Linked DNA regions of Pelodiscus sinensis. The main gene of each other region encodes a partner of the protein of the gene in region 2 in a complex. Links are inferred from orthologs where the notes say so. Each region holds a gene or a part of one and is shown on either strand. Other genes may lie near its edges. The genes, in order: NME1 and ANP32A.

The links.
Region 1: ANP32A (region 2) and NME1 share a complex: the UniProt entries of both Homo sapiens proteins name them as parts of the SET complex. The link is inferred for Pelodiscus sinensis from reciprocal best matches to the Homo sapiens genes ANP32A and NME1.

Annotation. Positions count from the first base shown.
Region 1 is NC_134730.1:15,291,865-15,308,138, reverse strand, and holds NME1 (nucleoside diphosphate kinase A), read right to left. Parts: upstream 8,091-16,274; 5' UTR 7,876-8,090; exon of another isoform or gene 7,872-7,875; intron 7,771-7,871; exon of another isoform or gene 7,747-7,770; intron 6,871-7,746; 5' UTR 6,867-6,870; coding exon 6,738-6,866; intron 6,223-6,737; coding exon 6,121-6,222; intron 5,220-6,120; coding exon 5,107-5,219; intron 4,360-5,106; coding exon 4,242-4,359; 3' UTR 4,045-4,241; downstream 1-4,044. UniProt on the Homo sapiens protein: Major role in the synthesis of nucleoside triphosphates other than ATP. The ATP gamma phosphate is transferred to the NDP beta phosphate via a ping-pong mechanism, using a phosphorylated active-site intermediate.
Region 2 is NC_134724.1:2,510,187-2,527,078, forward strand, and holds the start of ANP32A (acidic leucine-rich nuclear phosphoprotein 32 family member A), read left to right. Parts: upstream 1-8,935; 5' UTR 8,936-9,082; coding exon 9,083-9,136; intron 9,137-11,133; exon of another isoform or gene 11,134-11,148; coding exon of another isoform or gene 11,149-11,151; intron 11,152-11,242; exon of another isoform or gene 11,243-11,342; coding exon of another isoform or gene 11,343-11,360; intron 11,361-11,806; exon of another isoform or gene 11,807-11,952; coding exon of another isoform or gene 11,953-11,985; intron 11,986-16,892. UniProt on the Homo sapiens protein: Multifunctional protein that is involved in the regulation of many processes including tumor suppression, apoptosis, cell cycle progression or transcription. Promotes apoptosis by favouring the activation of caspase-9/CASP9 and allowing apoptosome formation.

The DNA.
Region 1 (16,274 bases), on a different chromosome or scaffold from region 2:
CCCGGAACGCCTGGCTGAGGGGGGAGAGAGACCCAGGCCGAGGGGGGAGGGGCAGGCGTTGCTACAGGCTGTGGGGCTGAGGCCAGAGGGACCAGCCCACACAAAGGGGGGGGGGATTCGGGACAAAGGGCGCGAGGAACTAGGGTTGCCAGGTGGTTTCAACAAAAAAACCTCGATATTACAACGCAATCTACGTTACATCGTATTTAGGAAATACCCGACACTTATATTTTCTCATTTATAGTTTCTCAATTTGTTCCCCAGACAGAAAGCTCAAATACTGGACTGTCCACTTCAAAACCGGTCACTTGGCCACCCAGGGTAAAGGTCGACAAAAAGTCAAAGATCCTCCAAAAAGGGGGGAAATCAAGAAAGATCGAAAATGCAGCTTCTGCCTCTGGGGCTGGCCTCATCGTTGCAGTTTCAAGTCCTGGAAAAACACAGGGCCAGCACGCAGTCTGGCCAACCACTGTGAGAGCTGGCAACTTGCAGCAGCATCAGGCTACAGTACATTGCTTTTATCTGCATCTGCTCACAGGCTTATTGCAGTGCTGCAGGGTATAGGTCTGGAATGAACTCTCCTTAGACAGGAAAAACTTAAAAAGCAACAAATAGACTAGTAGCACCTTAAAGACTAACAAAACATGTAGATGGTATCATGAGTTTTTGTGGGCAAAACCCACTTCTTCAGATGTCTTCCTTAGAACACAGAAGCCCTAGCTGGAATGGTTTCCTTGAGCTTGATCCTGCTTTGATCAGGGGCTTAGTCTAGATGATCTTCCTGGGGCGGGAGGGGTGTCCCTTGCAGCCCTGATCATCTATGATTCTATGGAAAGGAGGATAGGAAAGAGAAGAAATAAGGTGGGGATGGAAAAGGACACAAAAGAGGTGGGATCACATCCTTAATCTTAAAAGCCTTGCTAGAAGCACTATGGGGAACACATTCCCTTAACAGACAATGCGGCAATCTTAAAAAGGTCACTTGCCTTGCCTTCCATTGTGGCTAGGATTTGTTTTCAGTCATGGCTGTGAATCTCAACATGACCTCACAATATGGTGTTACAACAAAAAATACCTTGAAGGTTTAAAGTCTGTTCAGTTTCCCCAACACTGTCTTTTAATAGTAGATATTAGGTTTGTGTGTGTGGGGGGGGGGGGTGGGGGTGGTCCTGCATTCTTAACATCTTTTGCTTTGAGACAAATGGCCTTTGTCACTGTGTTGGGAAGCTGCTTCTTCCAAGTTGCACTGCATGCACCCTACAGTTGCTCAAAATTACCTCATATATAAAGCACCCAGAGGCCAGGAGACACATTTATCCTGATTTTTTTTTGTTGTCACATATGCGGATGAAACTGTGATTGCAATTTTAAAGTAAGAATATTGTCAAGTGTAAGAACTAGGACTAGAACACAGCACATCCTGGCTTCTGTTGCTGTGATCAGACTGGGATGTAAGAATTTAACCAGTTAACCAAAAAGCATCAACTTCCGTTTCAGTTAAATTCCTGCAGTGCAGCCGACTTCCTGGGGGCCATCAGCTGGGAGCTGGTGAACACTGGAAGCCCTGCTTCCCCAGGAGCCAAGTGCCTCCCCACGCTGGGAGCTCTTGCAGTGCAGAGCTTACAGCATGGGGCAGCCAGCTTCCTGCTGGGAGTAAGATGCCACCCCAGGAGTGGGGCAGGAAGAGTGCCCTGCCAGCCCCACTCCTTCAGCTGCTGGCCCAACTCCTGGAGAGCCAGCTACCACCCTGAGCTGCAGGCTCTGCTTTTTAAGGCATCCCTGTCTAGCCTGTTTGTAAGTATCATGATCAAATGTTTATATATGTTTTGTTACTCTTTGGATGTAGTAATTGCTTATTTGTTAGGCTTTTTAGGCATGTGTAAGAGCAATTGTATAAGTACCTTTGCATTTAATAAAGGAATTTATGGTTAAATTAGTGTTTGGTGGTTTCCCACATTAATATTAATCATTTAAAATATTATAAATAATTACAACACAAAGCAAATATAGTTTTTATACATAGATTTATTCTAACCAATTATACAGGTTGTACCTTCCTTAACCGTGACTCTGGTCCAGCAACATCTGTGGTCTGGCAGATGTTCCTGGACCACAGAGCCCAGGTAAAGTTTGTCTCATATGGTGTCTGATCCCGTCCATTTGGGAGAGTTGACAACCTTAAACAATCTACGTGCTGTTGTGAGCTAAAGAAACAGTAACGTGAGCTGAAGGAGGTAACTAGCATAGGTCACAATGGTCCATCTAAAACATTCAGTTGATTTTCCCAATTAGGGATGTAAGAGCGTAGCCATTTAAAATAGGTAACCACTAAACTTATAAGCATGAGTTTATTAGTTACCCAAATGGTTATGCATAATTCCTGGTCTGGCTCCGATGGAGCCAGCTGCCACCCCGCGTAGCTGCCTCTATATCACCTGCGTACCAAGACCATAAGCAGGAAGAAATGCAGAACAGCTCTCGGAGAGACAACTGCTGTCCCGCACTGTTGCCTCTGATACAGAGGCAGCAGTATGGAGCAGCAGGCAAGAGCCAGAACATTCATGGGCACACACCAGCTTCCAGAGAGCTGATTGCTGCCCTGCGTGTAACCACTGACATTTTCAGCAGTTACATGGTTAACCCATTACACACATTGTAACCTCCCTATTTCAAATACGCAACTGTAGCCAAATTACAAAGACCTGCTTCTCAGTTGCAGTATGTTGGTTATTTATGATAATGAACTAGCACATTAGGAACTGGGAGTCTAGCCATAGCAACTCTCCAGGAGGCTGAAAGGTATGTGGATAGTCCTGAACTGCACTACTGAGATCTGTTTATTATTAAAGGAAATCTATCATATGAATGAGTTTAAATACAATGGCTAACATTTTAGAAGGTCATTGATTGGGTTTGTTTAGTTTAGAAAAGAGAAGATTGAGAGGGGACATGATAGTTTTCAGGTATCTAAAAGGGTGTCATGAGGAGGAGGGAGAAAACTTGTTCATCTGGCCCTCTGAGGATAGAACAAGAAGCAATAGGCTTAAACTGCAGCAAGGGAGGTTTAGGTTGGACATTAGGAAAAAGTTCCTAATCGTCAGGGTGGTTAAACACTGGAATAAATTGCCCAGGGAGGTTATGGAATCACCATCTGTGGAGATATTTAGAGCAGGTTAGATAAATGTCTATCAGAGATGGTCTAGTTGGTACTTGGTCCTGCCATGAGGGCAGGGGACTGGACTCGATGACCTCTCGAGGTCCCTTCCAGTCCTAGTATTCTATGAATCTATGATTACTACTGAGACTTAGGCTCCTAAGTGCCAAAGTCACTTTTTCAAAAGTTTATCCAAGCACAGTTTACTTTGCCATTCAAACAACCAAGGAAAGACTCTATCTGAGCTGTCAGTTCTTTGCATGGAAATATAATTCAGTGCTGATGTTCTTGCCAATGTCAAACAAAATGCTATACTAGAGTGAAAGGAGGTAAAGCATACTGAGCGGCCTGTGCGCGTTAATCTTCTTTTCTCATAAAAGAACATTTTATAAAGCTGCCATATTAATCCTCGCTTAAAGAGCTATGCAAATGACTGAGGCTAGGGTGAAAAATTGAGTTTAAAATTACAATCTGGTTAAAATCCTTACTTTCAGAGTAAAGCTGTTGCCTATGTATAACTGAACTGACTTTCTGGAGAGAGAAAATAATTGAACATTTCCCACAGATGTTTATCACAATTTTAAAATCAATTTTTTTGCTTGACTTTACTTCTATATCATTCTTTTACTCCCTGTATTTTGGGTATATTATGGATCTGTTTACATACCAGCATGTGTGTCCTGGTGATTTAACTATGTTTGACAACAAATCTTAAGGCCACTAAGCCATTTTAGATTGTTTGCTAATGGGTATACACCACATTATCCTCTGTGGATACAGAGTATTTCATGGCAGTTTATGCCTCGTGTTTAGTCATTAATTAAAAATCCTCTCCTCTATTGTAATCTCCTTCTCTTCTATATACACACAGAGTTATAAAGCTTCACAAGTAATAATTCAATAGCTTTTTTAATTAGAGCAGCAGTTAATAACACTGGTTACATGTAATATGCACAACACAAATTAGAGATTTCCACCAGTTTATACAGAAGTGCCTTGAAATAATTAAAGGATAGTACCAATAGGAACTATTTCTGGGTCCATAATCATTGGGATGCATGGATGTTAAAAGTCACAGACCATGTTTTTACTCATATATCCACTGATGAGCACAGCTTGTGTATTCAACCAACTCCTCAGGAGTGAACCACAGGTTGATCTCTGTTTCAGCACTTTCTACAGAGTCACTGCCATGAATGATGTTCCTAAGAGAAGAAAAAGAAAAGTCAATTATAGAATTAAAAGCACAAGAATTTTATTTTTAGAAAAACCTCTCTGGTTACCGTGACTACATTTATTAATAAACATACTCATGAATATGACACACAAGCTTCTCTCATCCGTGTTGATAGTGGGGGACGGAGAAGGAAAACCCCATCTCTATTTATATCCTTTGCCTCCAGTCCTAGATAATCTAGTGGAGGTGAACCCCTGCATCTGGATGAAGTTATTGGGGGAAGGGGTCTTCCTACATATAATCACTTTGCAGAGTAGGGGCCTTAACGCTCTTAAATATTTTTCAGTGGTTAGTAAGTTTTTGTTACCAATTGTTATATAACAAAATTCATTCCATTTTAACATTTTAAAATGTATGTTATCAAATGACACTCATGTTTATCAGGACATCCTGATAGAAAGGACCAGGAGGCAAGTCATCATGCAGAGAGCTTATTAGTTCTCATAAAATAAGTAGGGTTATATGTCAGTACTCAAATGGGAAACCTCCATGAAAAAAAGTTGAGGGGCTGTAGAAAGTATTTCAGTCTTTGTCTATACGTCTTTACTATAACATTGATCAAATTCCAATATTTACATTCTGCTGCTTGAATTTTTCTACAGTTTCAAGTTGTTCTAGTTTTCACGTCCCCAAACTTAATTATAAAACAATGAACTAAGTAAGTCATCAGCATTAAAAATTGGCTTTGTCTTATCAAAACTATTTCAGAACATACCTGCCAACTTGAACACAGAAGTCACCACGGATGGTACCAGGTTTGGAATCTGCTGGATTAGTTTCTCCTAGCATTACTCTGCCAGTCTTAACCACATTAAGACCTTCCCACACCTTAAAAATAAAATAAATCCATTACGATTACAGAATCCAAACTGTAACTAACACAGTGAGAGTTGGCAAAGTTATTCAACTTGATCCCATTACCGGGTGGGTGTTAAGTCCCCCTTTTCAAAGAATTTGTAAGCAAGGCATTGAAGGATTGGAGTGAAACTGTCTCCAAGAAGCTATTGTAATTTCTGCTGACTGCTAGCCAAAGCATGAGGGTACTACTGAACAGATTTACGTGTAACAAACAGGTAAGCATCCCATTTCAAAATTTCTTAAACTCATAAAATCTCACAGGGATCTCATAGCGAGGTGAGCCTATACCTCTAAAGTATTTAAGTCCAAGATATGTTCCAAAAAACTTGGACTTATAGCAACACAACTTATAGCAGGGAATTTTTCCCCATGGCTGATTTCCATTTGCGCTATTATTATTATTTATTATTATTTTGCACATGCCTTAAGAGCAGGGAATAGGAAGACTTACAACACATCAGCTCCTACAAACATCAACAACTTTAGTGAAGAATGGATGTATACAGGGGCAACTCATAGCGGAGATTCTTTAAAAAAAGGTCACATTTACCTAGTTTAGTCTATGATTTTGCAGTGTAAATCTGAAATACAAGATTTCTCTACTTGAAACATTAAATATTTCACTGTTCTTTTTTCCAGTTGCTTATTTTGTGAATGTGACAGCACTTTTTGCAGTCAGTTTACCACTGTTCACATCCCCTGCTGCTTGGCACATTGCAATAGGAAAAAAGAAACTATTAAAAAAAAGTTAAAGGGAAACATTTGTACATGAAACTACATTTACAGGTAGTATCATTTTCAATATGTAACAAAGTTATGAAACAAGACACATCAACTTTTTAGTTTTTCTTAAGCCAGTTTAAAAGTTTACCATAGCTACAACAGGTCCAGAGTGCATATATTTAACCAAACCAGCATAGAATGGCCGATCTTTCAGATCAATGTAATGTTCTTTCAGAAGGTCTTCAGAGGCCTGCAAAAAAAAGGTAATTTACTCTAAGAACTTAAGAGCATCTTTAAATCACAAGAGATTAACCACAGAGCACTATTAATCCTTAAACAGGCATGCGCTTTAAAAATTAGTGCTTTTAGCAACTGGCTAGATGTGTTATGTTTATATGAATTTAAAATATAAATTAACTCAGCAAGATTGTTTCAGCAGTATCCAATTGAGAAGAAATCAATTTTTGCTGTAGATGTACAACAGATGCCTATTAAGTGTAAATGGCACCTATAAGAATATTCTCCTCAGACTAAGGCATCATCTTACTAAAATTAGGTTGCTTGGGATGTCAAAACCATTTAACTACAGCTGAATGATAGAAAGTCTCCAAAAATATCCAGACATAAAATTTGACATTTGATATTTCTAAAATTTCATTTAAAAATATTACAATAGATATTTCACGGAGTGAAGTACACCAGCCTGCTCTAAATATGATTACATTCTATACATAAAGGATAAATAAAGAAACGAGGGAAACTCACATGTATTAATTTCATGGCCACTAATTTGAAACCCTTCTGTTCAAATCTTTTGATGATTTCTCCCACTATTCCCCGCTGGACTCCATCAGGCTTGATGGTAATGAAAGTGCGCTCGGAAATGGATGCCATCGTCCTACAAGACAGGAGAAAGAGAATCCATATTCCAGGACTAGAGGGCAAATGCAGCCACAACAGAAATCTAGAAGGCATAGACACTATCTGCCACAACCTTATTGTGCTTTGAATTAGTCTCATAGCTGATATCACCTAAATTAACTCATTAAGCTGCAACTTGCACTGATCAAGTAAACCATACAAATATCCAGAAAGTGCTACTAAAAAAAAGAAAGAAAAAAAAGAAATGTCATGTAATAGTCCTACAAATATTGAGGAGAATTTGAAGAACAATTAGTCCATAGCAAGAACACAGAAATGTTATATTAAGTGATGATTACAGGATGGTATGGCAGATGTATTCCAAACTGCACTCTGATACCATGCTACCCTCAATTTAGGATAAAACAGACTAAATTAAAACCCTATGTATCTATATCTACAGCCAATCAATGCAGTAATGAAGTATGTTAAGAATGTGTGTGGGGAATGAAAGCTAAGAAAGTCACACTGGAGTATCTAGAGTGCCATTTTGAGAAGCACACACTACACAATTACCCAGGTCTGCAACGATTTTAACATGTAAAGCCAACAATTAAGCATTTTTCAGGAATGAAAACACATCTCTACTTAAAACAATTGCAGTAGGGTGGTAACACAATCCCCAACTATCAGTTTAGCATAGAATGAATAATTGGAGAAACAAGCCAGCTATTCCAGAGCAATACCAAACAACCTAAGAGGGGTAAAATACAAAAAAAGGCACACACAAAAATTCAACATCTAATAATAATGCTCCCCCTTCCAACAGCCCAGAACAGATGGCAACCAGCAGACAAACGCGCAGAAGCTTAATTACAATTCCCTTCCCTTATGTGAACCTTGATTGTCTCACTTGGTGGCTCAGGCGCCCCTTCTTACTTCCACTCCCCACCAGCCCCTCTTCTCTCAATAACTGCATACGTGCCCCCGCCCCATGCAAGCCCCTCAGCTCACCCCTCCCGGCGGCCGCCCCCTCACCTGCCTGCCTGCAGTCTGCGGGTCGGGTGGTAGCTGCGGCAACACCGCCGCTGCCACCCAGCTCGGAACACGCCTCCTGGCCGCCCCCACGTGCTCCAGCGCACGCCGGCTGCCAGCTGGGTCCCCCCACGGGGATGCTATCTCGGGGCGCGCACACGCCGTGGCGGGGGTGGGCTGAGATGACGCTCGAGTCCGACGCCAGGGAGCCCAGCGACTCTCCCTCGCCCGGGGAATGGGCGGCGCTCTTGCAACGCGAGGCCATCGCTGTGGCAGAGGAGGGAGGCTGGTGCACCGCGTGGTGCGCCTCGCTGCAGCCAGCCCCAGAGAGTTCCCAGCAGGGCAGCGTGTAGCTTGGAATGGGACCAGAGAGGGCGAGGGCAGTGGGTGCGGGGACCAACCTGAGGTGACCAGATGTCCTGATGTTCTAGGATCAGTCCCATTATGAGGGGCTTTTTCTTCGGTGCCTATTCCCCTCCATCATCCCCTGTCCTGATTTTTCACACAATCTAGCTAGCCGCCCCGTGCTCTGCCAGTCACACACATAACGGCGCTTTTTATGATCTGCTATCCAGCCCTCCTGACCCACCTCCGTCCTAAGGTGAGCGCACTTCTCCCAGAGCAAGGGTGTCTTTTCACTCGTTGTGGAGCATTAAAATAACAGCAAAAGCTGTTTGTCTACTACAGTGAAAGTGTCCTGCAGTTGCATATAGAGGAAATGGTAGGACGTAGATACCAGGGTCCTGCCTGCAGGTGCCTATTGACAATAGGGTTGTTGGGGCCCTTCCCACCATTTAACTACAATTAGTGTATGGGAAATCTGCTCTGGCTGAACAGCCACACCTAAGCCAAGGCACACTCACTTTTTCATAGACTTCCCACCCAATTTTTCAACTTCAAGGGTCCACAGTGGTTTGGCAAAGCGGTTGCGCTGTCCTAGGCAGAGACCTTCTACCTTCTTACATTCTCTAGCTAGCTACTTATCTCCAAATCCAGTTCAAAGTATGTTTTCAAGTCTCTGCATTTCCAGCAACTAGGATTTTGCTGCAGTGTTAGGCTGTTGACTCATATTTAGCTTGTGGTTCACTATAACCTCCAGATCACTTTTGGCAAAACTCCCTCCTAGGCAGTCATTTCCCATTTTGTATGTGTGCAATGGATTGTTCTTTCCTAAGTGGAGTACTGTATATTTGTCCTTATGGAATTTCACTCTATGCAGGGGCGGCCCGTGAACCCAGGCAAACTAGGCAGTTGCCCGATGATGATGTCACGACCATTGATGCCTGTGAAGGTGAGGGCACCGATCGCACATTCCGCCTAGGGCGCCAGCTGCCTCAGCCGGCCTCAGGCCGCTCCTGACTCTGTATTTCAGACAATTTCTCCAGTTTGTCTAGGTCATTTTGAATTTTAATCCTATCCTCCAAAGCACACATATCCCTTCCCATGTTGGTATTGTCTGCAAACTTTCAGTGTACTTTTTATGCCATTATCTAAATTATCAATGAAGATATTGAACAGAACTGAAACCAAAACTTATCCCTTCTAGCTTGACTGTAATAACTACTCTCTGAGATCTGTGAAATAAATTAGTAAACTTCTGCACTTCTATCATATCATGTTTAGGCATCCCTCACCTATATATTTATCTCTCATTTCACTTCATTATTTTATATATACCTTATCTTTGTAATCTCCCTTTCCAATTGCATAGTATTAGCTTCCTGACCTTGTCCTGTTCTGATCCTTTCACTGTTCTTCCCTAGAACCCTTTTATTTATGCCTTGACCTTTTGCCTTTAATCCATTAATTGGATTTTTATTTCAAGCACCTTTTTATTTTCCTGTGGATGCCCTTGATCTTTTTTTTAATCTGACCTTTAACCCCATCTCATTTCCTGGTATGCTTTCTTGTTTCCTTCGACATAAAATGTACATCTAATGAAGTATTTTCAAGTCCTCAACCTCTGATTTTCCAGTTTCTTTGCAGTGGGGATGCCAGGAAATTTCACATTTCTAATCTATTTACTCCTTGTTTTCAACCCTTTAATAACTGCCCTGTATGGAATTTATTTTTTCCACTCTCCTTTATACAGAAAACCTTTAAGTACATTTGTTTTGATAGTTATATCTAATTGGTAATTACATCAAGTCCCATAAACCAACGAGTTTGTCAAATCAGACATGCACAAAGCCAGAATTTTTCCCTTTGACAGATTCAATTCCCGTTTACCAGGCAATTTTAAAGCCCAGGCAATCAAGTTACAAACATCTCTTACTGGTATTCTCACAGCTCACAAGCTGAAATATGCTTGCAGTCAAGCAATGCTCAGAGAATTTCTAACTGTATCTTTGCAACTAGTTATCTACAAATCAACATAAAGCAAGGCACATCAGCACAAACAGGAAATGGCTTTTGGAAAGCAATTTTTATTCTTTTAACTTCTTGGGGCAGAATCTATTTCTCATGAAGTATGAAGTACATGGAAAGTAACTAGCACATTGTGGATTTTATACAAACAATCTATTTCTATACTATAATTTCTATACTATAATTTCCTCTGAATATATTTTTAAACTATATGCATATAATTGAACTTTATTGTGTATGTGTGGGTATGTATATATACATCCCTAGCGTGCAATTTTAAAGTTTTATAAGGCTTTATACAAATTTTATAAACTAGTCATTGTTCCATATATCTTTCTGTTAGACATTAATTTACATCTTGTTTTTTTAGTATTTGTTTTTAAGTTAATATTTTCCTTACTGCTGAATCTCATCAGTCATAGCAACAGGTGAGAATTTCTATGCAAAGCATAGACATGGTAGCACAGAGAAAGAGAAATTAATAGTTCCCTAAACATAATGCTACGTCTACAGTGGCATGATCTTGCACAAGAACTCTTTTGTGGAAGAGTTCTTATGCAAAAACTCTTCCAGAAGAGAGCGTCTACACTGGCATGTGCGTTTGCGCAAGAGATGTTCTTTTGCGCAAGAGCATCCATGCCAGTGTAGACGCTCTCTTGCGCAAGAAAGCTCTGATGGCCATTTTAACCATAGGGCTTTCTTGCTAGAGAACAGTTGCACAAGAGGGCTTATTCCTGAGCGGGAGCATCATAGTTCTTGTGCAAGAAGCACTGATTTCACACATTAGAACGTCAGTGTACTTGCACAAGAACTCGTGGCCAGTGTAGACAGGCAGCAAGTTTTTGCACAAAAGCAGTTGCTTTTGCGCAAGATCGCGCCAATGTAGACACAGCCAATGATTTTTTAAGTCAGTAGACACAGAAAGTTATATGGAATCCAATTGTCCAAAGGTACTTTATTATCAAAGTCTTATTAATTTAAGCCTTCCTCTTAAATGAATCAGTATACCTTTTCAGATACAAAAACACTACCTGTAGACATCCCACAGTTGGATAGTACATCAGTACTTCAGTTGTTTGAGCTAACATCTCATTTCCTGCTATTGTTTTTGCCTCCAGCACTAATTGAGCAATAGAATAAATTATAATATATGAGGTCCCAAGTTTCTTCCATTTCCAATATGCTCTGCTATAAAGGGATGTAAATGGGCAGGCTTTCACTTTCCTTCTTTTAGAGGAAAAAGCTTCTTCCCCATGTTGCCCTGAATCTATTTCTGAGAGTGAGGCAAGCTTTCTAAGATCTACTTCCTGATTTTTCTTGATAGAAAAGTTACTTAGGCTTGACTTTCTTCTCTCAAGACCTTAGCTACAATCTGGGATAAAGTTAGCATTTTCAACGACAAGGACTTTTAATGTTTTCCTCTATGACAATTTAGTCTGACACCAAAGCACATCTATGTTTATTTCTGGTTATAATGGACCAAATGTAGGTCTGATGTAAATAGATGTATTTCACTGGTGGGCCTGTATTCGCATTGTAGGATTATTAGTATGCAGTTCTCTTTTTTTCTGGTTTCACCATGGCTGTGATCTGCTAAATTTTCCTGTGTTTATAATTTATTTCAAGATACTACAAAATATAAAGTCCTGCACTTTCCAACATATTTATCTTTAAAGTATTTTTGACCTAGTATTTCTGAATGTTTTACTTGTATCCCATTTTGTTATATTCTATATTATTTCACTGCAACTTTATTTAAGACATTTAATATTATTGATATAGATCTTGATCCTACAATCCTTCCTCAGGCAAAACAACAGTGAAATTCAAAGTACCATATCTGCAAGGAATGGGTGGCAAAAGAGGTATTCTGTCAGTGCACTTGACTATATATCATCAAACAGAATTTTTTAAAAAAGAAAACATGATTTAGTGATTAAAGCACAGGGCCTGCCATGAGAACTGAGTTATATTTCTATCTTTATCACAGACTTGCTGTGTGATCTGTGCCAAATCATTTAAGCTCATTAAACCAGGGTTATCTTAGCCACTTCTGTGACTAATCCATGATTAGCACAACATGTTGAGCAATATATAGTATACAACATGCTATAAAAGTCTGCTGTATTTATAATTATAATATACTGAACCAGCACATTTCCCCCTGATTACAATGTTTTCATTGTGTTTTAAGTAAGAATTCAATTACATAATGAATCCAAATAAGAGAGACAGTAGCTCTCTGGAAAGAGCTGGTGGTGGGACAAGAGGAGAAGAGAGGAAGAAGTGAAGGTGGGGCAGGATGGTCACCCCATAGGATGGTGAATTAACAGCACATAAAGTGAAAGTGTGATACAGAGGTCTCCAAGATATAATAATGGACTGTTGGTCTAATTGTTTAAAGTCTCTTGTATGCCACCTAGCACAGTGTGACATTTTAGGAGACAGACCTTAACCCAAAGTTCTGAAAGTGAACACCATCCATACTCCCCTCAGTCTTTAGGGGAGTTCAGGTCTGGATCCTAAGTTCATGACCCTGGCCACAACTTTATAGTAGTCTGAGCTAAAAGTCTACATTGGTACAACTCTAAATATTGGGAAAGTTCCAGTCTGGGTACAAACCTTGTAGCTTGGATCTACATCTTCTTGTAACTAGACTTACGACTATGCAACTCCACTGACCTGGTGTATTTAAACATACACAATACACAAGTATTAAGTGCAGTAATGTTCAGAAGCAGGACAAATGAAAGTACAGTATAAGCCTCTGCTGCTCTCTGGTGGAAATTAATGGAACAGCCATTAGTTAGATTTCAACTAAGTGATAAGCCCTTTCATTTTTTCTTTACTAGTTTGATAGACTTTGTTACCTAATACCTTAGCAATATAAACAGTATGGTGATATAGTTCATTATAGCATTAAAAGTCAGAGAAAGCCAGTAGCTCATAGAAATCCACAGAAAATTTCCATGGTGGCATTCTCTGAAACAATTTTGAAACAGCCGATGAAAATTGTGGAATATGGAGTATCTAACATCTTTTCAAGTCTATGTTTCTCTGTTTCCATCTCTAATGTTAAAATAGTATAGAAATTAGCCCAGATTATTCATATATGAATATAATATGTCTAAAGAGGAGCTTATCATTTCATATTTTAGGTATCTTTAATGATAAAACCTCATGATAAGAGATTAGCAAAATCCTTGAACTAAGCACTGGGCTGAGAACCACAAGCTTCTGAAATCTATTGCCAACTCTGTCACTGAGGTTATGTCTAGACTGCAAGCTTCTTTTGGAAGAAGCTTTTCCGGAAGAGATCTTCCGGAAAAGCTTATTTTGAAAGAAAGCATCCACAAGCAAAAGGGGAATGGAAAAGCGATGTGCTTTTTCGAAAGATAGCATCCACATTGATTGGATGCTATCTTGCATTTAAGTTGTGATTAGTCTGGATGGAGTGGCAACCAGAGCACCTGTGTAATTTTCTGGAGGCCTCTTCGTTCGAAATAACTCCCTTTTCTGTATCCACACACGCCTATTTCCAAAAAAACTTTTTTGGAAAAAGGCTTCTTCCTCGCAGAATGAGATTTACCGCCATCAGAAAAACCCCTCTGTTCTTTCAATTTTCTGTCAAAAGAACTCAGTGGCAGTGTGGACATAAGTATTGTTTTTCCAGAAAAAACAGCAGTTTCTCTGGAAAAAAACTGCAGTGTAGACGCACCCTGACTCACTATGTGACCTTAAGCAAGTCATGTAACCCTCTTTGACCTTCAATATCTTCCTACATAATTAATGGATAAAATCCTTGCTTGCTTCTCCAGCATTTTCTGAGATTTTCCTAATTTACGTGTGTATAATAATGTATTATTATCACCACAATTAAAGAGCAATTGATCAACCTGCTTAAGTCCAAAATTTGACTTGCCTTCATCTTGTTATGATCTGGAGAAAAACTTATTCCAGGTTTATATTTTATATCCTCAAAAGTCTGTTTGCGTAGGATTTTCTTGGCATAAATTTAGACTATATATCAGTGTTTCCTCAACCTTTTTAATACCAGGGACCATCTTGCTGCCTTCCTAAATTGTATCTGGGAGGTCTCAGGGATGAGCGCCAGTCCACAGACTGGTTATGGAAAAACACTGACCTATATGACCCTTGTGGTCCTTTCCAACACTATAGTTCTATGATTATATGGATCTGCTTCTGCATAGCCAGCAGAGGGCCCTCAGACTGAAGTATAAACAACACCATTGATGCAGATGGCAGCAGTGCACATGCTAGAAAGAAACACACAAATGACCTTATTAACTGAAACTCTTGAAGGACTTACTGATTTAAAGAATGTACAGTGAATGAAACTTTTTCCACCAACTAATAAATTGTGACAAATACTAATAAATCCTATTTCAGAAAATGCATTCATCTGAGCTTCGCCAGGCACCCTGCTGTCCTAATGCTGTCTCAAATGCATTATAAAATCACAGAACTGGAAGCAGAACCATCGGACAGTTCCAAGCAGCTGTCTCAGCCCCCGCACTTTGGGGGTCCTGTGGGGCCCAGGACAGCCTAGGTGATTACCAGAGGCGATGCCAATATTTAAAAAGGGCTCTAGAGGTGATCCCGGCAATTACAGACCGGTAAGTCTAACATCAGTACCGGGCAAATTTCTTGAAACTATAGTAAAAGAATAAAATTGTCAGACATGAAGATGAACATAATTTATTGGGGAAATTCAACATGGTTTCTGTCAAGGGAAATCATGCCTTACTAATCTGCTAGAGTTCTTTGAGGGGGGTCAACAAACATGTGGACAAAGGGGATCCAGTGAATATAATGTACTTAGATTTCCAGAAAGCCTTTGACAAGGTTCCTCACCAATACCTCTTAAGTAAAGTCATTTGTCATGGCATAAGAGGGAAGCTCCTTTCATAGTCTGGTAACTGGTTAAAAGACAGGAAACAAAGGGTAGGAATAAATGGTAAGTTTTCCGAGTGGAGAGAGGTAACTAGTGGAGTCCCCCAAGGGTCTGTCCTGGGACCAATCCTATTCAATTTATTTATAAATGATCTAGAGAAAGGGGTAAACAGTGACGTGGCAAAATTTGCAAATGATATGAAACTGCTCAAGATAGTTAAGACCAAAGCAGACTGTGAAGAGATTCAAAAAGATTTCACTAAACTAAGTGATTGGGCAACAAAATGGCAAATGAAATTTCATGTTGATAAATGTAAAGTAATGCACATTGGAAAAAACAACAACAATTATACATACAATATGATGGGGACAAATTTAGCTATAACTACTTAAGAAAGAGATCTTGGAGTCATTGTGGCTAGTTCTCTGAAAACATCCACTCAGTGTGCAGCAGCATTCAAAGTAGCAAACAGAATGTTAGAAATCATTTAAAAAAAAGGGGATACAGAATAAGACAGAAAATGTCTTATTACCCCTATATAAAATCATGGTACACCTTATCTTGAATACTGCATTTAGATGTGGTTGCCTCATCTCCAAAAAGATAAATTGGCACTGCAAAAGGTGCAGAAAAGGGCAACAAAAATAATGAGGGGTTTGGATCAGGTCCCGTATGAAGAGAGATTAAAAAGACTTGGATTTTTCATTTTAGAAAAGAAGAGACTAAGGGGGGATATGATAGAGGGCTATAAAATCCTGACTGATGTGGAAAAAGTGAATAAGGAAAAGTTATTTACTTATTCCCACAATATAAGAACTAGGGGGTCACCAAATGAAGTTAATAGGCAGCAGGTTTAAAACAAACAAAAGGAAGTTTTTCTTCACTTAGTGCACAGTCAACCTGTGGAACTCCTTGCCAAGGGATGTGAAGACTAGGACTTTAACAGGGTTCAAAAAAGAGCTAGATAGATTCATGGAGGTTAGGTCCATCAATGATTATTAGCCAGGATGGGTAGGAATGGAGTCCCTAGCCTCTGTTTGTCTGGAAATGCATAACAGGACAGGGATCACGTGAGGATTAACTGTTGTGTTCCCTTCCATCTGGTATTGACCATTGTTCGCAGA
Region 2 (16,892 bases):
ATGAGGCAAAAGGGTTAAAGTGTGGCTCCGCGAGCCTAGAGGACTAGTTTGAGGTCCCCCAGTGGAATGGGGAAAAGTGTCTAGAGGCCCTTTAGGAGCCTAGCAGTCATGTCCTTTGAGAATATAGACCTGCCTTGGATCAGCAGATAGAAGGTGGAGATAGCCAGCAAATTCACTTTGATTTTTAAGATGAAGTAATCCAATATGGCCTATAAGGAAGTATGGAAGAGGAAAATGCCCCACTCAGCAGCAAATAGGAAAATCTGGTCCAGTTCACCAGGTACATCTGTCTGGTTATGAGCTTCCAACTTCCGAGGGCTTGTTGCACCCTTCTGCTTCGGACTGTTCCTCTGGATTTAGCCACGCAGCAGCCACACTATGAAGTGGAGTAACAGGAGCCTGGAAAGTAATGGGTAGCCGTGATCCTGGGACAACAGATCCAGACGATTCAGCAAGGGCTATAGGGGGAGCACTGGCAAACTCAGTAGGGTGCCAAACCAATGCTGGCTCAACCCACCAAGGGCAATCAAGATCATCTGAGCTTTGTTTTGCTTAATCTTGAGCAGGACCTTGTTTACTGGCGGGATCAGCAGTCTCCCATCCAAGGCAGGAGGAAGGCAGAAGAAACCTCCAGATGGAGTGCCCACCTGTAATGAGATGGAAAAAGTTTCTGCTGAAGTCATCTGCCAGCATGTTCCTGGCCTCTGGAAGTAAACCACTGGTCTGCTACTATGGCCTCTGAAGCTGGAAGAAAGGGCAGCAAACAGTGAGCAAACAAAAGGAGGAAGGTCCTGGGAAACTGTTTGGTACATCAGCCTTGGGCACCTGCACGATTATCTGGAACAGGCTGAGTCTGGTTGTGTGTAGGGATGTAAGAAGTTAACTTGGCACCCAGTCAGCAGCAGGCTTCTCAGCCTGCTTACCCAATAACTCAGAGGTGGCCAATACATGGCTCGCAAGCTGCATGCGGCTCTTCACTCCTGACAGTGCAGCTCACGAAGCCTCCCTCACACTCTGTGCTCAATGGTTGCAGGGAAGCCGTCCGGCATGGCAAAATGGCATTGGCCGACAGGAGCCTGATGTGGCCAAAAAGCCTAACCCGCGATTTTTAAAGGGGCAGCATTGTTTTTTGCTCAACAACTCTGCTGATGGGGAGCTCTTCCTTTCTTTGCTCAACAATTCTGGTGCGGCTCTTCGCATTTCTTCCGCCACTGTTTCAGCTCTCTTCGTTTAATGGGTTGGTCACCCCTGCAGTAACTAGCTAATCGACCTGGCCGGGGCAGCTCTCTCACCTGGCGTGGCAGGCTCCTGCCCACGGTGTGATATTTAACCAGTTAAACAATATAATTTTAATCGTTTAACCAGTTAACTATTTTAATGGGTTTTTATACCCCTAGCTGTGTGAAAGGCTAGGACTGTTGACCTGAACATCCCTTAGATTTTCTCTGGAGTGGCTCGACAGGAGTGTCTCCCTTGACCCTGGGAAGGCTGTGGCTTAAACTGATTGGAGGAAGGGACAAGGACATAGAGGTCTAATATCTCCAGGGTTGTATAGGAATCCTTGAGACCATAGAGTTTAGTGGTGGTCAGTTCTGCAAACCAGGTGTATCCATCGAGGCTTTCTGGGGCCAGCAGAGTGCCCACCACCAAGGCTTTTGGTGCTGGCAGAGGGAAGCTTCTGGTCTACTCCAAAGTTCCAGTTAGTGAGTGGGCTCAGAGAAACTCCACGGATTTGAGAACCACTGTGTGTGCCGTAGTTTGTGGCCACGGACCCCACAATGCCGGCTGAACCACCACCCCCGAGCCTCTCTTGCAGGTAGGGAAACCTTGTTCTAAAGCAAGGATAGCAGAGCAGTCGCTACCGTGACCAAAAGTAGGTTGAACTATAGCTCCTCTCCCATCAGTGCCCCTCTCCTAAAGGAGGCAGACCTGTGTGATTCTGAGGAACACCTGAAGAGCAGGCTTGCAGATCAGTGGTAGCCAGTAACTGACCCAATGTTCACCAGTGTCAGAAGAGCAAGTGGATCCGGGAGGAAGACCAGGCTTGGCACTGCAGAAATGCAAGTTGCAGTGAAGTTGACCTGGGAGATCCGCACCGGTCTGAGGAAGCGTACAGGTACCCAGTCGATCTGTCCTTTGATCAGTACTGGGGTCACAGAGATTCTCTATGTTCTCTCCGGTATTCCTGCTGGGGGAGGGCAGGCACACATGCCTCACAAAGTCTGCATCTTACCACCACCAAGCCTCGCTTTGATCCTCTCTACCCTGCTCCCAATCCAGGGACCACGCTGGGCAGAGAAACTTCTGCCTGTCCTGGTCACATGTGTGACTCAGAGGGCAATCTTTGGCGTGACATCTGCCATGACGGGAAATGCTGCCTCAGCAGCGACTGCGGTGATCCCAGTGGGTTTACACCAAGCCCAAGGTCCCATGAAGACTGGCGTGGGCAGCGCAAGTACATAACATCCTGTGCTGCTTGTAGGCACGCAGAGCTGTCTCTGTCCAGGGTGGCCAACTGAGAATGGGCTGGACTACTCCGCTCAGTTTGAGACGTGGCCCTTAAGCTCAGCTGTGGGTGAAGTAGTGCCCGGTATGGAACCTTGATCTTCCCAAGGCTTGTCCTTCCCCTTATGGGAAACAGATCTTCCTCTCCATCTTTTTCACTGGAGCCGCAGAAAGGGAACAGTGCCAGCTGGTAGATGGTACCACTGGAGCACTGAAGTCATGGTTCCTGGCGCTGAGTAAGAGTGCTGCTTTGTCACTGGGGCGAGTGCAAACTCCGTAAGGGCTTTTGAGCCAAATGTCTCTTTACTACTTTGTCCCGAGCTTGAAGGACTTGCTGAGTCCCAACGGGGATCCTAACAAGTCCCTAAGTACAGTACTATGAAAAACAGAGCGAAACAACTACAAAACAAACTAGAAGAACAAAGTCCAACAAGAAGCACCCTCACAGGCAGCAAGAAGGAACTGAGGGTTGAGGGAACTGGTGGCACTCTCTTTACCATGGCATATACACACTACTCCAGGGCACTAGAGCTGGTCCACTACAGATATTGTGGAAGGAAAATATTTCCAGCACCAGTGCAATCACTTTGAGCAATCACACACAGAATGAGGAACAAAAGCCTGTAAGTTTCTACAGAAGCAACACACCGACTTGGGTAAGTTTTAATTTAGTCTGAGCAATAATTGAAAAAGATACTTTTTGGAATTATAGTTCTTGGAGAATGCATTCCACTGTTTGTCACATGGAACTTAAAATCAGGCTTCCCAGGCTCCGTTCTCAGCTTTGTCATTGATTTGCTATATAACAAGGAATTCACCTGTGTAAATCAAACCACAGACAAATTTTATCTATGAGATTTACTTACCCCCTGTATGTTATGATTTAAAACTTAAATTTTGCAAAGCACACGGATGCTATGGTTTGTGCTAGGTATGTGTGGATTATTTGGAAATTTTAATCTCACGCTACTGAGTGTATGATATCCTGTGCTAAGACTCTAATAGTAGGTTCCTCTAAGATTAAGGTTATTGGGGGGGAAAAAAAAGCCCATTAGAAACACGTACTCCAGCAGTAGAATATAGTTAGATATTTAGCTGCAGTAATTCTTACAATCATATTAAATGCTTGATGCACTTGGGGCTGGAAAATAAGGATATATTGGTAAGACCTTTGGAATATTTTCCTCTTCCAAAAAATTAATGAGATCACAATGTCAATTTCCTGCCTTTACAGGATTAAGATGCTATACATTTGTGTATAATTTCTCTAAAAAGCCTACAAGATCAGTAATATATCTGAATTGACAATGTATAAGACAATTGATTCAGTAGGTATATTCAAAAATATATAAATAAATAACTCAATTATGGTTCAATTTTGCTTCAAATGAAGTCTTTTACTATTAAGGCTAGGCTATTTAAAATGATTTTACTTTGGTTTATTTTTGTTTTAAAGCTAATAAAAATCTTTTTGTGACCAAACTGCTTGTTAACAGTAGTGGAAGATCTAGCTTTTTAATCTGAAAATGCATGAATAGCTGTAAAAATATGCTCTCTTTCAGGTTTGGGCACTTGTTCTGTGTTGGGAGACACTGTCAAAAATTAAACTATGTGCTCTTCTTTTCAAAACTTATAGAACTCCCTGTGGTAAGAGGTAGGAAAAAAAGGAATTTCATTTATTTCTCACTGAAGTTTTATGTGATCACATTTACACAGCAGTTAATTTTCAATTGATTTTTAAGAGATGGAACTTAATACAAACCTAACAAAACCAAGTTTGTACTTATATGATTTTATCATTTGGGAGTAATAATACCTAGCTTTTACATAACACTTTTCATTATATCTTCTCTCAAACTGCTATGTAAAAGGAAAATATATTTTCAGTCCTTGGAAAAAATATTTATATGGCACAGATAGATCTAGTTAAGGTTCTAAATCCTTTTATTTCCACAAGCAACTTGAGGCTCATAACCTAGTATTCAAAATTCACTGAAGGACTAAACTTTGCACAATGTCTCAGCCTAAGAGACAATTTTGTTCACAATGTTTGAAGGAAATGGATTTGACCTCTTTTAAAGTAAAATTCAAATTATGTATCCTTCTTCATTCAGTATTCTTAAAGTTCTTTACAAACATTAACTTGTTTATGACTTTTCCAGGGTCATATCAAATCATAAGCAGAACAAGAAAAAAATTAGGAGTCCAGGCTTTTACTCTTACATGAATTCTAAAGAGGGGGAGGGGGAAATAATTCTGACCACTTCCAAGCCAATTTTATTTTTAACTATCAATCTGTTTTGCTTTTAAGTTTGTGCTTTCAACATATGGTTTCCTCCAGCCTAAAACCTTCTGATGAAGCATCCCTCTATACCAAGAGCTTCTCAGGCCTACCTAGTTCAATACATATTATTTCAGAGCCTATGAAGCTCAGTAATAAAAACTAGCCTGACATTTGTGTTTGTCCAGAACTCTGAACATTTAAAACTAGCCTAAGGACTGTTATAATGTTCTCAATAAGGCTGCATGCTTCTTGGGGGGGAGAGTGGGGAAGAGAGAAGAGTGCCAGACTGAGAGTCTTGCACACTGATCCCAGTGAAAATGGCCATCCCTGATAAATCCATTCATATACAGAACCCAATGAGTGTCTTTTACTGCGAGCTAAATACCAATGGAACCAATATTTGACAGTTAGCCTTACCAACATGCATTTGGCACCATAGACCTCTCTCACCTCTTAATCTGGCAACAGGATACACCAAAGCATTCTGAAATAAGACTGCAAGGCCTTCTTTGTGACAGTCCTTCATTGTAAGACCACACTACACAAGTGTCTTCACAGGGACCCAGAGATGTCTCAAGAGAACACTGCCCTTTTGGGATCTGATTTACAAATAACACATTCTGTTTCCACGCATGTGGTGTTTCAGCCTCTGACGCTTGTCACAACATGCTTCCTCCAGAACTAGTAGCTTCCATGGCTTGCACAGACAAGTGGTCCCATCCAGTTGTGTGTGTGGGAGTCACTTATCTCACCTATACCTTTGTGTTTAGTCTCAGGCTACGTCTACACTGGCAGGTTCTTGTGCAAGAACAGCCGTTCTTGTGCAAGAATCTGCAGAGCGAACACACTGCCCACCCTCTCTTGCGGAAGATTTACAGTACGGCATGGTAAGAGAGGGCTTCTTGCGCACGAGCTACGCTATTTTTTAACAGGTGTAAGCCCTCTTGCGCAAGAGGGCAGTGTGGATACTCGGCAGGGGTTTCTTGTGCAAGAAAGTCCTATGGCTAAAATGGTCATCAGAGCTTTCTTGCGCAAGCGAGCCTCTACACTGCCATGGGCGCTCTTGTGCAAAAGCACAGCTTGCACATGGCACTGTGGACGTTTTCTTGCGCAAGAAGCCGCCAGTGTAGACATAGCCTCAGGGTATAGCATGGTATGGAGGAAGCTGGGGAAGTAGGGACAAAAGATAAGTGAAAAGGTACAATAAGAAGCAACTTGGGATGTGGCAGCCTCTCTCAAGCTGAGGCAGCAGCTCAGCCGCAGCGTAGGCGCACGCATCCCTTCCAGAGGGGGGAACCACAGGAAAAGGTCCTTCCATGTCTCTCGCAGCCCCAAGACTGTGCTCCTCTGCACAGCTCCCCACCAAGCTACGTGGGGACAGAGAGAACCTGATCACGTCAGGGCTGCATCCCAGACATTCAGTGAGCAGCCCTGCCCCATTCCAACAGGCCTCCATACCAACCACCCACCAATGGCGCTTGGCCTCCACCCACCCCATTTCCCCCCATTCTTCCTCCTGCACCATACACTGTGACCAACAGCCCTCACCTCCCCCAAACCCACAGTCCCCCTCCATGCACCAACCCCTCCCAGGCCACCCTACATCCCTCTGAACCCTCAATCTCCCTCCACGGACCCGACCCCTCCCAGCCCCCCAAACCTCCTCCATGTACCCTGACCCCTCCAACTCCCCCCCACAGCCTCCCTTCATGCACCCAATCCCACTGGGCTCCCCCTCCGATCCCCCAAACCCTCAGAGCCCCTCCATGCACCCCAACCCAACTCCCCCTTCAGCCCTCCAAACCCTCAGCCTTCCTCCGCACACCCGACCCCACCCAGCTCCCCAAATCCTCAGTCCCTCTCTGTGCACCCCTGACCCTGCTGAGCTTCCCCTAAACCCCCCCCAAAACCCTGTCCCCCTCCCATGCACCTGGACCCCACTCAGCTCCGCTAGTCCCCCAAACTCAGCCCCCTTCTGTGCACCCCAGCCCCACCCAGCTCCCCAAAACCTCAGACCCCCTCCGTGCACCCAACTCCACCGAGCTCCCCGTATTCCCCCAAACTCTGTCCCCCTCCGTGAACCCTAACCCCACTCAGCTCCCTTACAGTCCCCCAAACTCTGTCCACCTCCATGCACCCCAGCCCCACCCAGATCCCCTACAGCTCCCGAATACCTCAGACCCCCTCCGTACACCCGACCCCACTGAGCTCTCCCTACAGCCCCGCAAACCATCCGCCTTCATGCACCCCAACCCCACTCATCTCCCCCTACAGCCCTCTAACCCCGTCTGCCTTTGTGCACCCCAACTCCACCCAGCTCCTCTACAGCACCCCAAACCCTGTCCCCTCCATGCATCCCAACCCCACCCTGCTCCCCTACAGCCCTGTACCCTCGGTGCACCCAAAACACAACCAGCTCCCCTACAGTCCCCCAAAACCTCAAACCCCCTCTGTACACCTGACCCCAGAGCTCACCCTACAGCCCCCCCAAACCCTGTCCCCTCTGTGCACCCCAACCCCACCCTTTCCTACAGCCCCCCAAAACCTCAGCCCTCTCCATGCACCCCAACCCCACCCTGCTCCGTCCCCCAAAACCTCAGCCCCCTCCATGCACCCTAACCCCACTGAGCTCCCCCTACAGCCCCCCAAACCTCAACCCCCTCCATGCACCCCAACCCCACCCAGCTCCTCCTACAGCCCCCTCCATGCACCCCAACCCCACCTAGCTCCGCCTACAGCCCCCCAAAACCTCAACCCCCTCCATGCACCCCAACCCCACCCAGCTCCTCCTACAGCCCCCTCCATGCACCACAACCCCACCCAGCTCCCCTACAGCCCCCCAAAACCTCAACCCCACCTAGCTCCACCTACAGCCTCCCAAAACCTCAACCCCCTCCATGCACCCCAATCCCACCCTGCTCCCCTACAGCCCCCATGCACCCCAACCCCCCGAGCCCCCCAAAACCTCAGCCCCCTCCATGCACCCCAACCCCCCAAAACCTCAGCCCCCTCCACGCACCCCAACCCCCCAAAACCTCAGCCCCCTCCACGCACCCCAACCCCCGTGAGCCCCCCACCTCAGTCCCCTCCATGCACCCTAACCCCCCGAGCTCCCCAACCTTAGCCCCCTCCATGCACCCCAACCCCCCGAGCCCCCCCAAAACCTCAGCCCCCTCCATGCACCCCAACCCCCCGAGCCCCCCAAAACCTCAGCCCCCTCCATGCACCCCAACCCCCCCAAAACCTCAGCCCCCTCCATGCACCCCAACCCCCCCAAAACCTCAGCCCCCTCCACGCACCCCAACCCCCCTGAGCCCCCCCCAACCTTAGCCCCCTCCATGCACCCCAACCCCCCCAACCTCAGCCCCCTCCACGCACCCCAACCCCCCGAGCCCCCCCCAACCTCAGCCCCCTCCACGCACCCCAACCCCCCGAGCCCCCCCCAACCTCAGCCCCCTCCACGCACCCCAACCCCCCGAGCCCCCCCCAACCTCAGCCCCCTCCACGCACCCCAACCCCCCGAGCCCCCCCAACCTCAGCCCCCTCCACGCACCCCAACCCCCCGAGCCCCCCAACCTCAGCCCCCCCACGCACCCCAACCCCCCTGAGCCCCCCCAACCTCAGCCCCCCCACGCACCCCAACCCCCCAGAGCCCCCCCCAACCTCAGCCCCCCCCCCACGCACCCCAACCCCCCAGAGCCCGCCCCACCGCCCCGTCCGCGCACCCCCGACCCCACCCTCAGTCCCACGTGCCGCCCTCGGCCCCGCGGCCCCTCCCCCCGGCGGCCCGCGCGCCATTTCTCTCCCCGCCGCCCCTCAGGGCGCCGCGCCCCTCCCCCTCGGGCCCGGCCGCTGCCCCAGGGCGCCGCCCCCCGGCGCGGGGCGAACGTGGCGGGAAAGCGCTGCGCCCCCATCCCACCGCGGAGCCGCCGCCGCTCCTGCCCCATCAGCCACCAGCAGCGACTGAGCCTCCGCTCGCGCTCGGGCTGTCCCCTGGCCGGCTCCGCCGCTCGCCCATTGGCTCCCGCCGCGCTGTGCCCGCCCCATTGGCTCCAGCCGCCAGCTGCCGCGTCGCGGTTGGCCGAGCCCACTGTCAATCGCGGCGGAGGCCCCGGGAGTGCCCGCCTCCGCTGTTATCAGGTTAGTGTTAGCCGCGGTGCTGGGGCTCGGGATTCCAAGCGGAGCTGGTTGAGCTCTCAAAGTCCCTCACCGCGCTGGCTTTGGGGGGGTCTTCAGTGGTGTCAATACAAAAGAGGAGCTGAGCAAAGCGAGAGACTCCTGCTAACCAGGGACATGGACATGAAGAAAAGGATCCACTTAGAGCTGCGGAACAGGACGCCCTCAGATGTAAGCAATGCAAAAAAAAAATCCATCCCACATTTTGGGGGGTGCATTAAAATGATTAGAAAATGTAGGGGTGCAGCTGGAATAGGGAACGCCCGTGCCAGCGGCTGCTCAAGCCGCTGTTGTCCTTGAGGTGCCTACCGGTGTGTGGATGTCTCCGTGCACCTAAATTGGGGTGCCCAAAGGCGCACGCGTTATGGTCTAGGGGAAAACTAAGCTGCTCCCGAGTCTGCTGGTGTGAAATGCATTCAAGGAGCTTGCAAGGCATTAAATGAAAATAAGTTGGTGGCTCTCGCTGGCTGGTTTTGTTGGCAAATATTTGCACGGAGTGTTGGGCAGGGAGGGAGCGTGAGGGAGTTGAAAATGGTTTAGTTTAAAGTGCGTCTTCATTTCTTTGCAGTGATCAGGCAAGAGAGACTGGGGAGCCATATTTGTAACTTTGTAGTCCTCATGAACGCGCCCTTTCTCTCTCTCCCTCTCTCCAGATGCTGAGAAGACAAAAAATAGGATTTTTAAGCAAACCTTCAGTGGTTTTAAAAATCGGAGCCAGCTGACAATATCGCAAGCTTTTAATTTTTAAAAAATGCCCCAATAAATCCACTCTCCACCCTCTCTCCATCCACACACACACAAAAAGGCTGGATGTTTTTTTTTTTCCTTGGGGCTGGACTTAGGTTGTTGTTCAGCGTCTGACTGAATAAACGAGAACAAGAAAGTTTGTCAGGACAAAAATAGACCGTGGCTGGTTGGGCACAAATTATGCAGACAAGAGAAAACCTAGTTACCTCTCCTCCTTTTTCTGTTTGTCTCTTACTGTTACCGCAGCGATAGCAATCGAAAGGCGAGAGGGGTGGGGGTCACCCAACTTGGGCAGACCCCCTAACCTCTTGCCAAATGCACCCAAGGAGAAATTAAGGTTGCTTCTGTGTAGGGGTGGGTGTGGGTGTTCTCTTGCGATGGGAATTTGGTGTTTTGTGCTGCGCAAAGGTGACCGGAGGTCTCTCCTCCTTAATCATCGGTGCATGGGATCGTTGCAAGTGCCTTTTCCTACCTTGGGAAGTTTTAGTGCAATTAACACACAGTAAAAAGCCAGTCTCTGGGGGAAACCCTCCCCTCCAAAACAACCGATCCCACACATGTGGCCATGGATTTTTAGAAGCCAAGACCGAAGAGGGCATTATATAATGGCTTAAATACTAAGTTTATTTGCGGGGAAGGGGAGGTGTTCTCCGGCTCGGTTTCCCTCTTGCAGACCAGACAGCTTTGAAAGGCGCTGGACGTAGATAGGAGTGAATAAACACATACCTTTCCAGAAATCAAAAGTATCCCAGGGGGACAGGGGGAAAACTGCCCCGCACTTTTCCTGTCGCCAGTAAAATGTCTGACGGACAAAGCTGGGCGGATTTACGTAACCTTCGCTTTAAACTTTAAAAAGTATTGAGGGGGGAGGGAGGGAGTGTGTATGGAGCTGGCTAGTGGGTCAGACACCTTCCCTTGTATCTGAGCAGCAACACCTATTAATACAAAGTGCTGTGTGGTGTGTGTGTGTGTGTGCGCGTGTGTGTGCGTGCAGGTTGCTGCATGAGCGGGGCTGCTCGTGCTCCCTTGTGTTGCACCGCGTGTATGTGCCAGCTAGCTCAGTACAAGAGGGCTTGTTTGTGAGAGCCCTGCAAAGAGGACAAAGAGCAAACGGAGGAGCTTCCTAATGAGGGGCCTCTGTCCCTACATCTCTGCCGGGGAGCTGAAATATTCCTCCCTCCCTCCACCCCATGAAATCATTCCCAACTTTGTATCCTCGCGTTGGCAGCGCCACACTAAACCTGAAGTAGGACAAGACGCCATGTTTTTTCCATCGAGCTGCAAAGGAGAAAAAGGCTGGGGTATGAAACCAAGGCGATTTATGCTTTAGGATCCGTGCGAACACCCCAAAGGAGGGAATTCTTAAAGCCACCAGCGGTGCAGTTAGCAAACATTCCTTGTGAAATTCTGGAGGGACTTGAGGGGGGTTGCTTTAAATGGTAATGCGTGTTACAACCTAAAATGAGAAGCTTTCATAGGTCTGCAGTTTCCTATTAATGATTATTCGGTGGGGAGGAGAAATGCTTCGTGTTTTGTTCGAGGGCAGGTCGAAGAGGTGGAATGGTGGCGGTTAGGGCGGCTGACGGAAGCAATGAGGGCGCACGGAGGGCTCGCTCTGTGTGTGTGTAACATGACTGCCAGCATTCAGGTCTGCCATTTTGTCACTGTTTTGTCACAGAGGGGGGAGGGGAGAAGGTTGTTTTTAAAGAAGATAACAATCTTATAGTCCGATTCCCAGCCAGGCACGACTAACGGCGTGTTCGAACCCGAATCCTGCTGCAGTGGGGCTGATGTGGCCGGGGAGGGGTCTTCAGGGAGGGAGGCGGGCATGTATGGGTGCGTGTCTGTGCAAAGGGGAGTGCTCGCTTGTTCCCCTGCACAAACGGCTCTTGGGGAGCGCGGACTCGGGAGCCTGTATCTTTAAATGGAACCTTGGCGTCTCGAAATGGAACGTTGTGTTCGCGAGCGTTCCGCGGGGCGGTGACGAACGTTCGGGGGAGACTGGAAGGCCGGTCGCACGCTCGCCAGGAGCGCCTGGCTGCATCGCCCCGTTCCGCTCGGCGCCGGCGCGGGCTGGGCCTGGCGCCCAGCCTGGGCTTGTGCCTTGTCCCGTTTCCCACCCGAGCTGCTGCGCGGGAGCTGGAAGAAGCGAGCAGACCTAGCAGGTCGCATGCACAGTGGGTTCCGGATGGCGATACACTCACTGCCGGCTGCAGCCGCGATATGGATGAGTCGGGAATATGCCTTGTTCCTGGGCAGGGCCCTGCGGGAAGGTAGGTCTTGAGGGTTTTCCCCCCCCCCTGTGGATTATGTAGCAGTAACCGTTTAGCGCCGCTTGAGGTTTATCTTCCCCACCACCACCATCACCATTTTTAACAAGGATGCTGGCGGTAAAAAATTTCTCCAGAGTGCTGCACGGCACGTTTTGGCGACAGGAGTGTTAAGCCGAATGTGGTTTACTTCCCTCCCTGCTGGGTTTTTGGTTTAGGAAAGTAACACGAAGAGACTTTCTTTGATTGGGACAGTGTTTCTTTGCACTTGCATAACTTGATCTTTGGTGGGTAAAGACACCCTGTCCCATATGGTAGAAATGTAGTCTTTAAAGTGCTACACAGTCCTGTTTTTTGTTTCACCTGCCCCATATGGTCAGTCATAAAGTGTTCCTTATCTAACTTGGTACCTGCTGTCACCTGTTTCAAGTCTTTTTTTCTTTGGTTCTGAATGAACTCTCCCATGCAAAGGCGATAATCAAAACTGTTCCAGATTTCATTATGCAAATGTATTGTAAATACGATTGGGAGAACGATACTTGTCGATATTGCGGTTTTTACCAGCCAGATCCAAAGGGGACACAGTAGCGAGGCCAGCACATCCTCATGTCGGGGAGTAATAAAATTTACAATGGGGGGGCTTGCCACTCTTCAGACTATCCCTTGAAATCTGATTTCTTGACTCTGTGCCTTTGGGCACTAACTAGAGGGGCAGACTGAATTTTAAAAGTAATGATTGCTTGTTCCATCCACAACTTGGTGCAGATTGTGTATTTCAGTATAGACAGACCAGTGAAATTAAATGAGATAGTTCATTAGTCTGGGAGTTTTACATAGGTTAAGATGATGCAGTATCTTCAGTAAGCGGCAGTACATATTTGCATCATAATCCATATTTTAACAGTGTCTGGCCATTAAAAGAAACCGACTCTGGTTTTGTAAAGAAGGCCAATTTTTTCTAAGTCAATTGAACTGCAGCTGAGCCATTTGTGCTTTGGTATCCACACCACAGGCTGTGTTGTTCATCTTGACAGGGTTAGGGTTTTGCAAATCAAGAGCAGTGGTGAAGCAGTGTACCAGAATTTCATTACTTTTGTGGGTTTATGGTAATGTTCTGCAGGCTTTAGAGTGATGTACTATCATTCTTGTTTGAAATGCTGCTTAATACCATGTAACAGAGCTGGTTACTCTGAGCGGTTAAATCTTATAATCCTGCAGGTTTGGTATACATATTAATTAACAAAAGCACATATTGCAAGTGTATTTAAGGTGGAATGCACAGGGGCCCGATTTTCTCCAGCACCCCTTTTCTTTGTGTTTGTTTTAATTTGAATTTAGTGCTGGTGAAAGGTGCCAGATTGATAGTACAATACCTGAAATTATTTTTCCTATGTATTGTACTGTTGATGGCTGTGTAGTTTTTCTATTGGACTTTTCTCTCTCCCCCCGCCCCCCCCCACTGTGTTTCATGTTGAGAAGGTTCTTCATATGCCATGCACATACTAGGGATGTGAATGGTTAACCGGTAAGCCTCACCCGTAACAGGTTACCGCTAACTGGCAGCGGCCGGAGAAGCCCTCCTACCCGCTGCACCCACCGTGAGCAGGGGGCTGCTCCAGCCCTGCAGGTCCCCCACGGGTGGGGGTGCTCCAGCTGGGGCAGAGCAGCCTCCATCCATGATTAACTGGTTAAGCATAAAGTTTAATCAGTTAACTAATTAAATGGGATTTTACATCCCTAACATGTACACATCTAAGCTCGTATCTACCCTTGGAGTCTTCTGATGTAAAGACCTGTACACTTGGAATTAGAACAGATTATCTCATAGGTTACTACAGAGCCATCAGAAGGCACTGTAATTAATGAACTAGTAGAAGCTTTTGTGGGCAGATTTTTGGGCACTCCTGTTTATTTGTATTGTAAACAGCCTAATTTGTTAGCTAAATACAACAGCTGTAAAGCAAATTATCAGTATTCCGGTTCTGGCTGGCTATGCAACATAGACCTTGTATAGGTTTTTGAAATTGTGCTAAAATGCCTTTTTTATGCTTATGTTTGTTGTTGTTTATGCTTACATTTTTACATTCGGTTGTGGATTACTTGAGTCCAAACACTTCATGATTGGTCTAAAAGAGGCACTGTTAACTTGAACTTAGGTCAACTAAAATAAAAGTTGAAAGTTTACTTCAGTTTTTTTCACGACTCTGGACTCCCCAACCCAAAAACATCTGTTTAATTTCATTTATGTCTGTTCTTCTCTTTTGTGTTATGGCCAACCTACCCAAACAAAAGGGAAAACAGTTGATAATGACTATTTGTAATTCCTGTGAAATACAGAAGGTAAACGTTAAGATTTAATTTTTCCTCACTATGTTACTCTTTTCATTGTAATGATAGTAAATGGCTTAAGTTGGTGTCTCTTTAAAGACCTTTCCTGTACTGAACAAATACAAAAATGAAAGGCATTCGAACTGTTCTAGCAGCCTCTCTGGATTTCTGACCTGCTGGTATTCTGCTAAATTCTCAAAAATGTTGATTTGAACTATACATCTCTGCACCTATACCACTGGATCTCCAGAAGTGGTGTTGTATTAAGGTGAATAAGTAGAGCCCCGCGAATCTACGGCTATCTGCTATATATCCACAGGTCAGGGCTCATTTTTGCAGATACAAAATTTGTGTCCATAACTGTATTTGCACAGGGTTCTATGAGTAAGTTGTTTGACCAGGAACAGCTGATATTGGAAACAGGTATAGAATCATAGAATCATAGAATAATAGGACTGGAAGGGACCTCGAGAGGCCATCGAGTCCAGCCCCCCGCCCTCAAGGCAGGACCAAGCTCCACCTACACCATCCCTGACAGATATCTATCTAACCTGTTCTTAAATATCTCCAGAGAGGGAGATTCCACCACCTCCCTTGGCAATTTATTCCAATATTTGACCACCCTGACAGTTAGGAATTTTTTCCTAATGTCCAATCTAAACCTCCCCTGCTGCACTTTAAGCCCATTATTCCTTGTCCTGTCCTCAGAAACCAAGAGGAACAAATTTTCTCCTTCCTCCTTGTGACACCCTTTTAGATATTTGAAAACCGCTATCATGTCCCCCCTTAATCTTCTTTTTTCCAAACTAAACAAGCCCAGTTCATGAAGCCTGGCTTCATAGGTCATGTTCTCTAGACCTTTAATCATTCTTGTCGCTCTTCTCTGTACCCTTTCCAATTTCTCCACATCTTTCTTGAAATGTGGCGCCCAGAACTGGACACAGTACTCCAGCTGAGGCCTAACTAGTGCAGAGTAGAGCGGCAGAATGACTTCACGAGTTTTGCTTACAACACACCTGTTGATACAACCTAGAATCATATTTGCTTTTTTTGCAACAGCATCACACTGTTGACTCATATTCAACTTGTGGTCCACTATGACCCCTAGATCCCTTTCCGCCATGCTCCTTCCTAGACAGTCGCTTCCCATCTTGTATGTATGGAACTGATTGTTCCTTCCTAAGTGGAGCACTTTGCATTTCTCTTTATTAAACCTCATCCTGTTTACCTCTGACCATTTCTCTAACTTGCTAAGGTCATTTTGAATTATGTCCCTATCCTCCAAAGAAGTCGCAACCCCACCCAGTTTGCTATCATCTGCAAACTTAAGATAGGTCCAAAGGAAACAGTGAAGCAAACATTTACCTCATTTAATTGAAAATAATGGATGAGAATGATCACGCAGAGATACAGGATTTATGTGTGAGATCCGCAGTGGGCTGTCAAGAAATCTTTTTCTTTTTAAAACTTGACTAAATTGTAAGCATGCGTAGGGATCAAGATAGAAACTTGCTGCCTTGCTTTCTAATCAGTCCACAATGTTGCTATTATCTGACAGCTTTTCTAGCGCACGCACGCGTGGTTTTATCCTGACATTTCCCCCTCAACTGTTCACATTTTTTCTTAGACGATCAGTCTCTCAAATGCAGTCATACTTATGCAAGGTGTTAGGGTGATTTGTTTGTGTACCGAACAAGCAAACATGATCTTGAAAAATGGTTCACTCTTGATAAAAGTATCAGAACAAAAGTAGCTGGGGTGTCGGTAACGAATGAAGACATAACAGGGGAAGCTGAAAAAAGAACACCAAAAGCTTAAAAGAGACACATAACAGGAAGAACGACTCACTAGTACTGACTCGTGAGGGCCTTGGTGATAGGATTGATTTAAACCTGAATCTGATAACTTGTCCTACAGCCAGATCTGCACACACAGAATTTGTCATCTACGCTGCTGCACTTCTACACCAAGACGTACAAAAATGTTTTGAGCTTAACCACGTGGCTCTTCAAAATGCAGAATCAGAGGCAATAGTTCAGGACCCAGAGTACACTGTTCTTCCTCTTAATTAATCTTGAATTCCTAAGGCCTGTATTGTCTACAAAGGGGTACGTCTAGCAATATTGAATTTGTAGTGTAAAGGGTGATGGCTTCCTTTTTACAAACGGATATGTTGTATGTATTGCACCCAAGTTAGGAATGATCATAGACATGGACAATACTTACCCATTCCACATCTTGGGATGAATACATTTTTAATGGAGCTGTAAAGGCTGGGGAAAGATGAGAATTGGACCCACAAAAATGGAACTACTTATGTTTTGAGTGAGTGAATCACTTTCAAAGTAAAATGCAGGACAATGTAGCACTTTAAAGACTAACAAGATGGTTTATTAGATGATGAGCTTTCGTGGGCCAGACCCACTTCCTCAGATCAAAGTAAATAATGTTAAGCCTTTGGTTCTGAGGGGTGCTATGAACTCAGTAGTTCTGGTTTCCCAGCTAGAATCTCTGGTGTGGGTAGAAACGTGTGGAATTCCATGTGAGCAGACTTTGGGAGGGAACAGATTGGCCACCATCTG